2 linked regions of the Cricetulus griseus genome follow. The protein of the gene in region 2 purifies or fractionates together with the protein of the main gene of each other region. This does not show direct contact. Links are inferred from orthologs where the notes say so. Each region holds a gene or a part of one and is shown on either strand. Other genes may lie near its edges.

Region 1 (6,926 bases), on a different chromosome or scaffold from region 2:
CTGGAAAAACTGAAACAAACAAATAAATGTGAAAGAGAGAGTCAGTGTGCAAACTGGATTTGGGGGTGCAAACCTACAACCCCAGCACACAGGAGAGAGGGTCAGGAGGATGAAGGAGAACCACAAGTTGAAGGCCAGTATAGCTACACAATAAGCCCGTGTCAATCAAATTTATCAAACTCAAGTCTTCAAGCTTGAAACTTCTGGTAGCAAGTGCTTTTTACCCACTGGGCCATCTGTCTGCTTCCAAGATATTTAAATCTATTCAGTATAATCTGCTGAATTGAGTCAAAAGACTCTAGTTGTGGGCAATCACTTCTTTGGCCTATGCCAAAGTTTCCTTATTATAACACAAAGAAGTGAGACTGCTCTGACATGCCACTAATGTTAAAAAAGAAAGATTTACACAACAAACTAAAAGTTGTACATTCACTATAGGAAGCATAAGATTTTCTAAGGATCTAAACTGTTACCACACTTCAAAATTTTAAAACTTTTTTTTCCAGAGTAATCTGGACTGATTCTCTTTAGGTAGCTGACCCAACACCATACCATCTCTTTCCCTTTATCCACCTTGGGACGTTGAGACACCTCTTTTAACACACTCAGTGAAGGCCTAGTGGTACACTGCCACCTGTATTCCTGGCACTCAGAAGCCTGATGCAGGAGAACTTTGAGTTTGAGGCCACCTGGCTACACAGTGACACATTGTATTTTTGGTTTTGATTTTTAAAGAATGCACTAAAGAGAAACATTTCAACTCTAAAAGCATTCCTCTTCAAAATCCCCCTCAATTACTTCTACTCTTCCTCCTAATTCCATTTCCCTAAGGCAGTGGTCACATTTCATTCTCTCATACACTTTTCCTATCCCAACAGTAGGCCAAACCTGGAACACCTAACTGCTCCTGAAGCACACTCAGAAAGTGAAAGAAAAACAAACAAGGCCCCAGTCCATCCCAAGAATCATAATACTGAATCTTCAAAAGACAATAGACCCATAGACCGAAAACTCCACCAGTAACTAATGACAGTATTCACATAAAGCCACACTCCTCAGCAATTTACTCTCTAGCCCCACTGCCATATGGAACCAATATAACTCAACAGTGTATCATATTTATAATTAAAGTAATCCTGTATTTGTTTCAAATTTAGTATTCACCATGTTTGATTAAAAGGCTAAGTGAAATTCCACATTTAAAAAGTGTGTGTCTCAAAACCCACATTTGGAACTGTGTAATTCTGAGAGTCATTTGATTATGAAAAGAGTAATACTTTGTTGGCCCACTTAATTTCATAAAGTCCTTATTTCAATTTTTTGCCAGAAGGGCACAATTTATTTACTAAAGAAGGAAAACTGGGGGTGAGAAGGGAAAGAGCCCCTATGCAAATACAATAAATATCTAAGATCAGCCCTAAACCTATATTCTTGTTAAAGAAGATGGCTTTAAATCACCATGAGGTTATTACTGAGGACATCTGTCCTGAATTGGTTCATTAGTTTGACATCTCATTTTTTTTAAACCTTCGGTGTAATATGTGTATACTTCAATAAATATTACTTTAGAAAAGGTGATAGTCCATAAATAACAAACTACTAGGGCAGCAAAGGTAAAAACCAAGATATGCAGTAGGAAAAGCGATTCTAAATTTAAACTTCAGCAAGGAAAACCCTCACACCACTATTCACAAGTCTCTGTTCAAGCAATTTATTTTTGGCGAGACAAATCACAGCTGTCAACGATGTTTCTTCCCCCACCCTACAATTAAATAAATTATTCCGAAAAAAAAATAGAGACATCTTCAACTTGAGGGGCATTAACTTACACATGCCGTGTGTCATTATGAATGTTTTTTTTTCCTTTAAAATGTCACACGGAAGGGGGGTTAAAAATAAAAGGCAAACAAACAAACCCTGGAAGATGCAGCAGAGCCCCCTTGCTCCCGAAATAAAACTCCTGGTGGCTGTAACAGCAGCGGCAGTGCTACTCCCGACAGAAGTTTTCAGCTGTCACTTCTAACAGCTGAGCGCTTCCTAGGAGAGAAGCGACAGGCCGAGAAGAGAGGTGGTTGTGGGGATTCTGAAGATTCAAGACTTGCACTCTTAAAACACTCCAAAGGGAAACCCTTCCGCGCCTCGCCTCACAACTGCACTTAGGGGACACCCAGCAAGATCAGCGCCCCCACCCCCAGCACACGCTCGCGCCACCCGGGCCACATTCAGGACCACAGCTCCAGAAGCCGAACGCGCGCCTCGGCTCCTCAGCGTTCCACAAACCCATCGCTCCGGGCTGCGCTGCTCTGGGGATGAGGGCGAGACCTGCACCTGCGCGCCCCGCAGAGGCCTCACACCTAGGGCCAGGTCCGCCCCGCCCGCTCCCCCGCTCGGCCGCGCCGCGCCTCAGCTCCTCCCGGAGACCGCCTGCGTCCCCCCGGGCCTCCGCGCCCCAGGACACACCAGGCTCCCTGAGCCCACGCCGCCACCCCGGCCCTGTCACCTCGTCCCCCCCACCCCATCCCCCGGGACCCCGGGCCTCACCCCCTCCTCCAGCTCATCCTCAGAGCCTGCGTCCTCTGGCTGGTCCAGGTCTATGTCAAACACTCCTGCCATGTCCTCAGCTTCCCTGTCTCGGAAGTCAGGCGCTGGGTAAAAGCCGTCCCGCCTCCGTCGTCGCCTCATGGGCCCGGACCCGCCGCAGACTTCACTGCTGCTGCCGCCATCACCGGCTGCTTAAGCTCAATGCGTCTGCGCCTAGGCCCCAGACTGGCTGCTCAAGTTCAGCCCCGGAGCATGCGTACAAGGTTCCGTGAAGCCAACAGTGGGCAGCGGACATGCGTAGCACTAGCTCCCGGCGCCAGGTACTGGCAGGAACATGCGCAGAATACCAACCGAAGCCAAGCCGGGAAAGTAGAGCATGCGCGTCACTGTCTAAGGCGTTTTCCTGGACACTGAGCATGCGTACCATATCTGAAGTTGATAAATTAAATTTGAACATGCGTGATTAACCTTTCTAAATAGAAGAGGAGGAAAGGGAAGAGGTGAGGAAAAAAAAAAACTTCAACGAGGTCTCCGTCTAAGGAGCATGCGCATTCGTTCGTTGTCCGTAGTTTTTAAAAGAAGTATTGAAAGTGAGCATGCGCATAATGAGAGGGTTTGTCTGAAGTTTGAACCGAACTGCAACTGCGGGTCGGAGAGCTGTCAGTGAGTGTGGGGCTAACGGGGAGCCGATAGGGCAGAAGGGCCAAGAGAAGAGTCTTGGCCTTGCTGTTTGCTAATTCAGTGGCTTTGGGAAGTTTCATAACCCTTCGGTAACTCAATTTCCTTATCTGTAAAATGAGAATAGTATTACCTACATTGCAGGCTTAGACGTTAAGTTGAAAATCTGGTTCGCTAGCTTCTGCTCATTTCCAGGGCTACACAGACTTGATGTGATGATGCATGTATCAAAATTCTCTTTTTAGCCCGCATGGTGGCCCACGCCTATAATCCCGGCTCTCAGGAGGTCGGAGGTAGAAGGATTACGTGTTTGAAGCCAGCTCAGACGAATAATAAAGATTTGTTTTAATACTTTATCTGGCCTTTCCCTGAGCTCCAACTTTGTTTTTCTTTCTTTTCTTTCTAAGAAAAGGGCCTTACTATGTAGCCCGGGCTGTCCTGGAACTTACTATGTAGACCTAGCTGGCCTTGAACTCATGGAGATCTGCCTGCCTGTGCTTCCCAAGTGCTGGGATTAAGGGCATGTGCCACCATGCCCCAGCCCTAACTTTGTTTTAATACTGGAACTAAGCATAAAACATTTCTTATTGATCTTTATTGTATTTACCTGGCCAGAAGCTGCTTAGTAGAAAAAGAATAAGTCATTTTCTTGAAAGACAGAAAATTAATGTTAGATGAATGTTCTGTTAATAAGCTAACTTCTGGTATCTATGTGACAAGAAGTGAATACGAAGAATTCCTTCAATTAGCTGGGTGGTGGTGGTGCCCCACCCTTTAGTCCCAGCATTAGGAAGGCAGAGGAAGGCAGATATTTGGGAGTTCGAGGCCAGCCTGGTCTACAGAGCGAGTGCCAGGTTAGGCTCCAAAGCTACACAGAGAAACCCTGTCTCAGAAAAAATAAATAAATAAATAAAGAATAAATTCACTCTTCGAGGTGGTGCAGTGGTGGCACATGCCTTTGATCTCAGCTCTCAGGTGGCAAAGGCAGGAGGAACTTTGTGCGTTTGAGGCCAGCCTCTGCCTCCTGAGTGCTAGAATTAAAGATACATGCTTACATGCCCAGACAAATAGTTACTTTTCATTAGTGTACATATATATTTTTTAAGGTTTTTTTTTTGGGGGGGGTGAGACATGGTTTCTCTGTGTAGCCCTGGCTGTCCTAGAACTCGCTCTGTAGACCAGGCTGGCCTCGAACTCAGAGATTCACCTACTTCTGCCTTCCAAATGCTGGAATTAAAGACAGCTGACTTACGTATTTATTGTGTACAGGGTTTTGCCTACACGTATGGCTTCAGGCCAGAAGGGGGCACCAGATCTCATTATAGATATGAACCACCATGTGGTTGCTGGGAATTGAATTCACGACCCCTGAAAGAGCAGCCAGAGCTCTCAACCTTTGAGCCGTCTCTCCAGCTTCATGTACAAATATGTTTAATTTTCTAAAAATTTTATTTATTTTTATGTTGTATGTAAATACCAGCACATCTGTATGTGCACCGTGTGCATGCAATGCCTGGGAAGGCCAGCAGAGGGCATTGGATCCCCTAGAACTGGAATTAGTGGCAGCAGTGAGGAGACCCAAACGTCTTCTGAAAGAAGAGCAAGTGCTTTAACCATTGAGCCATCTCTCCAACACTTTTCGTCTACATAATGAACACATGGCATATTGTTTGCTCTTATTAGTAATGTGGTGGTTTCTCATGTCTGTGTCTTTTTTTATAGGTCATCCATTCCCTTGTGTTTTAGACTAGGCCTAGCTTGTGGCTTGGCATGTCAATAGTAACAGTGCAACTTGGGCAGTGTGGCAACCAGATTGGCTTTGAAGTGTTTGATGCTTTATTTAGGGACACTCAATGTTCCCCTGGACTCTGCTCTAAGAGAGAAAATGAGGCTTATCAAGCATCTTGCAAAGAAAGATTTTTCAGAGAGGAAGAAAATGGAGGTAGGTGTGGTCAACAATCCTCTCCTTACTTTCATGTGAATGTCTTCAAAGTGTTTAGCTCATCCCTTCCATTGCACTAGGGAGGGCCTTTGCTTTTCTTTCCCTACCCCATGCTGGGGTTTAGTCTTATCTCCAACCCATGAATTAAAACAAAAACATAAAAAACTGAATCTAGGGCTGGCAATATGGTTCAGGGACTTAGAAGTTTATGCTCGCTCTGTGGTACTGACATAAAATGTATTATTTGTTTTTCTTTTCCTTACTCTAGTTCCAGTTGCCCGGGCTGTTCTTGTTGACATGGAACCTAAAGTTATCAATCAAACGCTATCAAAAGCTGGCCAGTCTGGCCGATGGAAATACGGTCAGCATGCATGCTTTTGTCAGAGACAAGGGTCTGGGAACAACTGGGCATATGGGTAAGAACAACTCCTCATGACTTTCAGTGAATTTAAAGCTATACAGTTAAGTATTCATACCGTGATAGTTGTATAGTTGACACAACAAGCTCAAAATCTTGGAAGTGCTCTGTTAAAATTTAGAATTTGGGGTCTGGTGTGGTGGCACAGTCTTTCATGCCAGCACTGAAGAGGTAGAGGCAGGCAGAACTCTGTGAATTCAGGCCAGCCTAGTCTACGTAGTGAGTTCCAGGCTGTCTTACTCAGTGTTTTGTTGCTGTGAAGAGGCACCCTGACCAAAGCAACTCTTATAAAAGAAAGCATTTAATTGGGCTGGCTTACAGTTTCAGAGGTTTAGTTGACTTTCATCATAGTGGGGAGCATGAGAGCAAGCAGGCAGATAGGGTGCTGAAGAAGTAGCTGAGAGATCTACATCTGAGTCCATAGGTAGCAGGAAGATAGAGACACAGGGCCTTGCTGGGGCTTTTGAAATCCCAAAGCCCACCTACAGACACACTTCCTCCAACAAGGCCACACCTCCTAATCCTTCTCAAACAGTGCTGCTCCCTGATGACCAGTCATTCAAATCTATGAGCCTATGGAGGCCATTCTTATTCAAACCACCACACAGGCCATCCAAAGCTACTTAGTCAAATCTTGCCTCAAAGAAAACTAAAATAAAATTAAGAATTTGGGCCACGGAGATGACTCAGGGTAGAGCCAAACCTTATGAACTCAGTTCAGTTCCCAGAACCCATATAGTATAAAGAGAGACCTGACTCCTAATGTCCACATATGTGCATGCCCTCCCGAAAATATGAAATAAAAAATTACAATTTAGAATGTGTCAGGCTTGGTGATGCAAGCCTATAATCCGAACTACTCTGAAAGCAGAGACAAGAGAATCTCAAGGTCAGTGTCTGCCAGAGCTATAGAGTAAGTTCAAGGTCATCCTGGGCAATTTAGCAAACCCCTGTCTCAAAATTACAAGTATATAAACAAAGGGGCCAAGCATATAGCTCTGCAGTACAGCCCTTGCCCAGTGTTGTTGAGGCACTAGGATCAACTTCCATTACCACCAGTAAATAAATATTCAGAATTTGATATCATTCCAAAACCTCTCATTCTCCTTGTGCCTGTGCTCAGGTAAAGGCCATTGGTGCAACCTCTTCATTATCCCTCTGCACACTTTGTATCAGCACAGTAACCTTACCTCAGAAGCATCCGGCTCTAAGGACTGTTTTTACAAGGCAGTAGTTCCCAAGTTTTGCTGTGCTATAGAATTTCCAGGTAATCCCAGCTCTTGGGAGGCTGAAGCAGGATCAGGAGTTCCTGGGCTGCTCTCACAAAATATATGAGGCCAGAGAGGA
Region 2 (6,794 bases):
ATATATTAAGTATACTTTAATTTCCAAATTTTACCTAAGTACTAGACTCTAACCAGGCCTCTAATATCACCAAAATCAAGAAACATGTAAACAATGGGATACTGTCTTTCCAATCAAACCGCCAAACTGGGTGAGGGATATGCAAGCAAGACCATCAAATGTTGTCAAGAATGTGGGGAAACATCCATTCGTGACACACTTGGCACTAACAGAAATCATTGCTGGAGATTTGGTAATATACATAAAAGTAAATTAAAATACGTTAGACTCAGCAATTCCACTTCTAGAAATATTCCTTGGGTAACAATTTCCCACATTATTACAGAGCTAAAACTTTCCAAAAATACAATTCTTCAAGGGCAGACAGTTTAAGAAAACTTTATCAGTCATATACTGAAGCACCTAACAACTGATGTTGCACAGAACGTATCAACACCCAGAAACACAGGGGTTGCCTACCAAGGTTAAACAGAGATTAATAAACCAGGCATGGAAACACACCTATAGTTCCAGCACTCTGGAGGCAGAGGCATGTGGGTCTCTGTTTAGAGCACAGGAGGCCGGGGTGAAGAATCAGTTTCTATGCTAGCTAGCTGAGATTAGGAAGGCTATCCCTGGAGGTGACATGTAGATAGGATAAGGCAGCAAGACCATGCTCATGCATGTTTCTCATCGTCCTCTAGATCAGACTTTCCCAACAGAATCTTGGTATACCAACCCGTGATCAACAGCAGAGGTCAACAGCGCCTCTCTTGCTGCCTTGGTGGCTTCTCTCCAACCTGCAATGATGGTCTGTGGATGTATCTTTTTTGCAATTAAAGATTCTGCTTCCTGTCAATAAAAAAGTACACATATAAAAGTAATAAAGGGTTGGATTACTTCTACCGCTCAAAATCATTCACAATAATAAGGTGCAAGTGTTGAGTTCTTACCCGGAGTAGTTCTGCTGCCAAAACAGTAACAGAGGTAGTGCCATCACCAACTTCATCATCTTGAACCCTTGACATATCTAGGAAAAACAAAATTATTTCTCCACATTCCTAAATCCTTTTAAAACATCCACGAAAAAGCTAAACCCCACTTATAGTAGGTTCCATACCTGACAAAGTTTGTGAGAACTTTAAGTTCTAAATACAGTCCGTATCTTGAATGTGCCCTCCCAAATTCATGGAAGCTTAATCCCTCATCTTTTTCTGTCTCATCCATGTTATGACACAGCAAAAGGAACCTCACTGACTGGGCCCACTGGTCTTGGACTTCACAGTTCAGCCAGACAGACTTGTATCATTTAAAAACTACCTAGTTTGTGGTTGCAGCAGCCCCAAATGGATAATAATGATACTTCTGAAATTCATTTCAACAATGGCTAATGACGGCTATCATTTAAATAGTTGTAAAATTATTAACAAATAGATATGCAGACTCACCAACTAAAACTTTAGCTGCTGGGTTGTCAACACCAATGTTTTTTAGAATGGTGGCACCATCATTGGTTACCATTAGAGAGGCATCTCGTCCACTGCTTAGAAGAATTTTGTCCTTAAGAGAAATTGGTTTGTGTCAAATTGAGGAGTAAGTACTTCTTGAAGAAACCTGGAGTCAGTAACTGCACTCAGCTTTCCATTGCTGACACACCAACACTCTGGGTGGTTACCTGACCACCAAACATTTCAATGCATGTATCCGACAACCAACCCTCAAAAACTTGGAGGTACAGGTAACACAAACTAGCTCTGCTACAGCACCATGACAGACAACAATGGAAGCAAATGTCCATGAACAAAGTTAAAAGCAAACCCCAGAATACTGTATTGTGGTTAAAGAAAAATAACGTATTTTTAAAAATCATCACAATGGAACCCTCCTTATGCTAGTTAAAAGATCAATTTAAAAAAATTGGTAAAAATCCACAAGAGGGAGTTCAACAAAAACAGAGTGCTGAAGACAGGGTCAAAGAAAGCAGTGGGAGGCACTGAAGGAGGAGGTATCAGGGAAGTTGAAAGTTTGCTGGGTGACCTTGACCCAAGTCAGGGCTTGGCCATGTGTGCCAGAGAGGAGATGGCTTGGGTTTAGTTATGTCTTGAAATTGGAAGTGTGGGGTTTGTTCAGAGTGTTTATGATATCGAAGGACATATGGACAGTTAATGACTTTAGTGGAATGAAGCAGTAGTAGGCATTTGGCAATCATTTGGGCAGAGGAAACATAGGCGTCTGAGAAGAGATGAGATTTGTGTGGAACAGGTGATCATGAGAGAACAGGAGCCTAAGGGTGAGGATGAGTTATTAACAATGGAGGGGTCAGACAGGAAGGAGCTGGAGGACCCTCTTGTGTATGAGAAGGATGGGGAAAGAGGTCTTGGAGAGTTTTTTGACAGGAGTGTAGAGGATCTGGGGCAGAAAGGAGAATGCTAAGGAAAAGGGTAAGTATGGAGGGATTGAGGGAATGACGGGTAAGGAATGTCAGTGATGAGTTTTTGATAAAGAGAAATTTGGAGATAAAATCTGAGGCGATGGAAGTGACAGTAGAGTCCTTTGTAAGTTAGGAGTTGAGGGGAATAGTGGTGGGAACAGATGGTAAGAGGGGATCAATAGATTGTGAGAGCAGATCCCGGAGCTTGTAAGATTTAGTGATGAGCAGAAGGGCTGTGAAAGAGGGCATTCTACAGAGTTCTAGAGAGGAGTAAGCAACAGGGGCAAAGGTCCTTCTTAGGAAGTGTCTATGTATTTTGGAAGTGTTAATGATGGAAAGGTTTGTACAAATCTGAGAGGCAGAGGGCTGGAGCAGAAGAGAGAACACTTTAAGAGATTGATTGTGGGTGGAAGGACAGTAAGGCTATAAAAATAATAAGCATGTCAAAAGAGGTAGCAAAACTGACAGAAGCTTAGAAGAGGACACCAAAAAACCAAGTAGACACCAATAGCACATACACATAAAAGTGTTATCTTAGAAATGCATTATGAAAATCTATGATAAACTTAAAAATACTACCAGGTTTTGCATATAAATGGTAACACTTGCTGCCAGTGGAGAGTAATGTTCGATTGGGGATGGGGATACAGGAGGATAATTTTTTATAATTTAATGTTTTAGCTTGCAAAACATAATTTTTCTTACCATGCCCTTGGGCCCCAAAGTGCTCTTCACCAAGTCTCCAATGGCGATGGCACCAATAAAGGATGACTTAAATTAAAAGAGAAAAAAAGAAATCAGAAAAGGCGGTCAAAACTTACCAGAAGAGAGAAAAGTACAATCTTGTCATTTAAAAGAGGCGGAATGAACGGGCTTACCAGGCGAGCTGTTTCGGCTCTCTCTTCATCAGCTCCAGCCTTGAAGATATTCACAGGTGCCAGGGAAAGGGACGCCTAAAGAAAGGGAAACCAAGATACTCCGTTTGAATGCCAGTACTCTTGAAATTAACACATGTCGGGAGTCCGTCATGGGAGTGGGAGTTTATTTAAATGGCGAGAGGGACTTACTGGTGGGCGCCAGGAACCAATCAACCGGCTGGTATGTAGGGCTAAACTAAAGGCAACACTAAGGGGGAGGCAAGCGGCGTCGGAGGCACAGTGGTCCCAACCACCAGGGACCCTCCATCTTCCACAGGCCTGCACAGCCACCCGCCCGTCAGGCCCCGCCCCGAGGAGGGCGGGGCTGACAAGAGTACTAGAAACTTCTTCGTTTGGGGTGAGTCCCGGGGGTCATCGGGGTCCCCTAACCACGAAGATAGTTGATCTGAGACAGAGATGCTGGCTTGGGGTGCACTCTCCCTTCGCGCCCCCCGTAGAGAGTTCGGTCTGCGGATCCCACGCAGGCCTCACGCCCGGCCATGTGCGACCGGCCGGCCCGGGAGACGGCCTCAGGGGGCCTGTGTCTCCCGTTAGATAAAAGAGAGCGGCGGGGAAGCGGGACACAGCGGCACCCGGGCAGGAGCGGAGGTCGTGGCCCGAAAGCTAAGCTCACCATGGTTCCGACGAACTCAGCGCAGAGGATAATCCCTCACAAGCCGCGCCGGGAAGACGGCAGGGGAAAGGAAGGCGGAAGTGACGACACACTCTACCGAGGGGGGCGGAACCGACCGCGCAGGTTTCCGCCCGTGCGACCGCCTCCCTCCTGCGTAGTGGGCTGTGCCGGAAGCGTAGCCTCTGGAGGCCGGGGGTGGGGGGTGGGGGGACTGGACTCGCGCCACGCCCAGTGGCGGAAGTCACTGCAGATGGGGGAGGGGCTAAGGGCGGGCCCATTTAGAGTAGAACTCCAGAACAAAGAGACACAGAAACTGAGTTCCTGCTTACATGTATTTTTAAGGTCAGATGTACAGTTTCAAGTGTTGTACGCTAATCATTTCCCTCACTAACTCTCCCTGGAAGCAAACACTCAAGTTTTCATCTTTTTTTCCCTTTGTGGGGATTATTTACCTGCGTGGAGACTACTTCTCTTTCTGGGGCATAAAGCCCATGTTACACAGAATTCCCCTAGCTGGCCTTTTGTTTGTTTTTGTTTGTTTGTTTTGTTTGTTTTTTTGGCTTTTTGGAGAGCGGTCCAGAAAACTTAGTAGGGAACTAACCTGCTCCTTAGTTAGAAGCATAGCCTTGGAAAAGGCTGCTCTGGTTGACAGAGCTTTCTGAGGCTTTGTGACGAGTCTGCCGATAAAACGCTTTCTGTTCCCAGTGTCCGGATGACTCACAGCTGCTTTTCTAATCAGCGGGCCCGGGGGTGCTTGCCTCATGCCACACTTCAGGTGTTTGTCATCGGTTGCCACATTTGAGGCAGGAGTGGCTCCGGCAGTGGCTCGGGCAGCCTGGGGTAGCAAGCTGCTGCTGGGGTGTCCATAGTCTGACAATCTCCTTGTTCAGTTCTCTCTCTCTCTCTCTCTCTCTCTCTCTCTCTCACACACACACACACACACACACACACACACACACACACACACACACACACACGTACGTACGTTTTTTTCTTTTAAGTTCTACCAAAAATTGGGTTTTCCACCCTTCTAGTTATAATCATTGCTGGCTGGTGTAGCATACTGGTCAAAGGGATGCTCTCGGGAGCTGACTTCCTGTTTTGTTTTTGTTTTTTGTTTTGTTTTGTTTTTCAAGACGGGATTTCTCTGTGTTGTCTTGGAATTAGCTGTGTAAACCAGGCTAGTCTCAGAGATCTAACTGCCTCTGCCTCCTGAGTGCTGGGATTAAAAGTGTGTGCCACCACTATCTGGCACAAACTTCTTTTTAACAATTTAATACTGGCCGGGCTTTGGTGGCGTATGCCCTTAATCCCAGCACTAAGCACTCGGGAGGCAGAGGCAGGTGGACCTCTGTGAGTTCAAGGCCAGCCTGGTTTCCAGAGCGAGTGCCAGGATAGGCTCCAGAGAAACCCTGTCTCCAAAAAAAAAAAAAAAAAAAAAAAAAAAGAAGAAGAAGAAGAAGAAGAAGAGTTGACTATTGAATGAGATTTTAGTCTGTGTCATTTATCAGCTCCATTCTCCCAGGTCTCACCACCTCCAGAGTAGTAAGTGGGGTGGGAAATGTTGAGACAGGGTCGAACTCACAGAGATTCACCTGCCTCTGCTTCCCAGTGCAGGGATTAAAGGCGTGTGCCACCAACGCCCCGACTGAGACAGGGTCTCCTGTTGTTGTTGTTGTTTTTTTTTTTTTTGTTTGTTTGTTTGTTTGAAAACTTACCTATTTTTGTGGCATTGGGGATTGAACTCAGGGGCTTGGGTTGATGGATTATACAGCAGGAGTACAGTTGGCTTTCAGACGACCCACCCATCTCCCAAATTCTTCCACAGTGGCTTTACTGCATTGGCTTCCACGGCACATACACTAAAACTGGAATGATACAAAGATTGTTATGGCCCCTGTGTCCCTCCAACACTGAATGAAGCCTTCAGACATTCCCCAACACTTGATATTGTCACGTGTTAGATTTTTTAAAACTGTTTTTGCTATTTGCAGATTTTTGTTGTTGGTGGTGGTTTGGGTTTTTAGTGCTTGCAGTTGAACCCAAGACCTTTGTGCACGAGAGGCAAGTAGTCAACCACATAGCTGCTCTACCAGCCCTGCTTCCGATGGTCTGAGGTGGGTCACTAACATGTCTTGGTTTCCCTAGTTTGTGAAATGCAGAAGCAGCGGCACCTCTATCATTGGGTTGACCCGAGGAATAAAGTAATTCACAACCACACTGAACAGCTCCAGTTTACATGCCCCCGATAAACATTAGTATGGCATGGTTAGACTGGACCTCTGTTGTAGTAAACACTTGAGATTCTTGGCAAAAATGATGCTCAGTTTGGGCATAGATTCCATGGTTATTTTTAATAATAATAGCTGACTTCATGGTATTCACCACGTTGAGGGCTTTTTATACCATATCATTTGAACACACCCAGGCTGCTCAGTAGATACTAATACCATTCTGTTTTTAGATGAAGATGGGAGGGCTAACCCTTGTGCAGGAGGCTCTGGGACAGAGTTTCAGTGTTGTGACTAACCCTCCATGTGGTGATAATTTTATGCTGGCTGTAGTGGAGTCCTTGCTGTGCTCCTGAGAAACAGTCCAGGGAAGAGGGAAGTGGGCAGGCAGGCGGGAGCAGGAGGGCTCCCCAGACTTGCCTTGAGACTTAGGTTTCAAGCTGAGGACAAATGGCTAACTGAGGTGCCTACTTAACATGCCAAGCAGACCTGGCTGCCAGCATCCCTCAGTCCCTACCTGTAACATGGTATGGCTGGCACAACCTGCCCCTAACCTAAACTTCTCCAGCTCAGGGCTCACCAAGCTCTGAGCCTGAGACCAG

The links. The genes of interacting proteins can lie anywhere in the genome.
Region 1: the proteins of Cct2 (region 2) and Tubd1 purify together in Homo sapiens (co-immunoprecipitation; 3 studies listed by BioGRID and IntAct, with this or other methods). This does not show direct contact. The link is inferred for Cricetulus griseus from reciprocal best matches to the Homo sapiens genes CCT2 and TUBD1.

What each region holds. Positions count from the first base shown.
Region 1 is NC_048600.1:99,790,654-99,797,579, forward strand, and holds the start of Tubd1 (tubulin delta chain), read left to right. Parts: upstream 1-2,897; 5' UTR 2,898-3,041; intron 3,042-3,055; exon of another isoform or gene 3,056-3,311; intron 3,312-4,941; 5' UTR 4,942-4,989; coding exon 4,990-5,161; intron 5,162-5,429; coding exon 5,430-5,577; intron 5,578-6,926. Other genes in the region: Rps6kb1 (ribosomal protein S6 kinase beta-1), read right to left, coding at 2,542-2,682. UniProt on the Homo sapiens protein: Acts as a positive regulator of hedgehog signaling and regulates ciliary function.
Region 2 is NW_023276806.1:139,273,122-139,279,915, forward strand, and holds the start of Cct2 (T-complex protein 1 subunit beta), read right to left. Parts: upstream 4,118-6,794; 5' UTR 3,965-4,117; coding exon 3,962-3,964; intron 3,364-3,961; coding exon 3,289-3,363; intron 3,182-3,288; coding exon 3,116-3,181; intron 1,540-3,115; coding exon 1,428-1,539; intron 1,010-1,427; coding exon 933-1,009; intron 832-932; coding exon 719-831; intron 1-718. UniProt on the Homo sapiens protein: Component of the chaperonin-containing T-complex (TRiC), a molecular chaperone complex that assists the folding of actin, tubulin and other proteins upon ATP hydrolysis.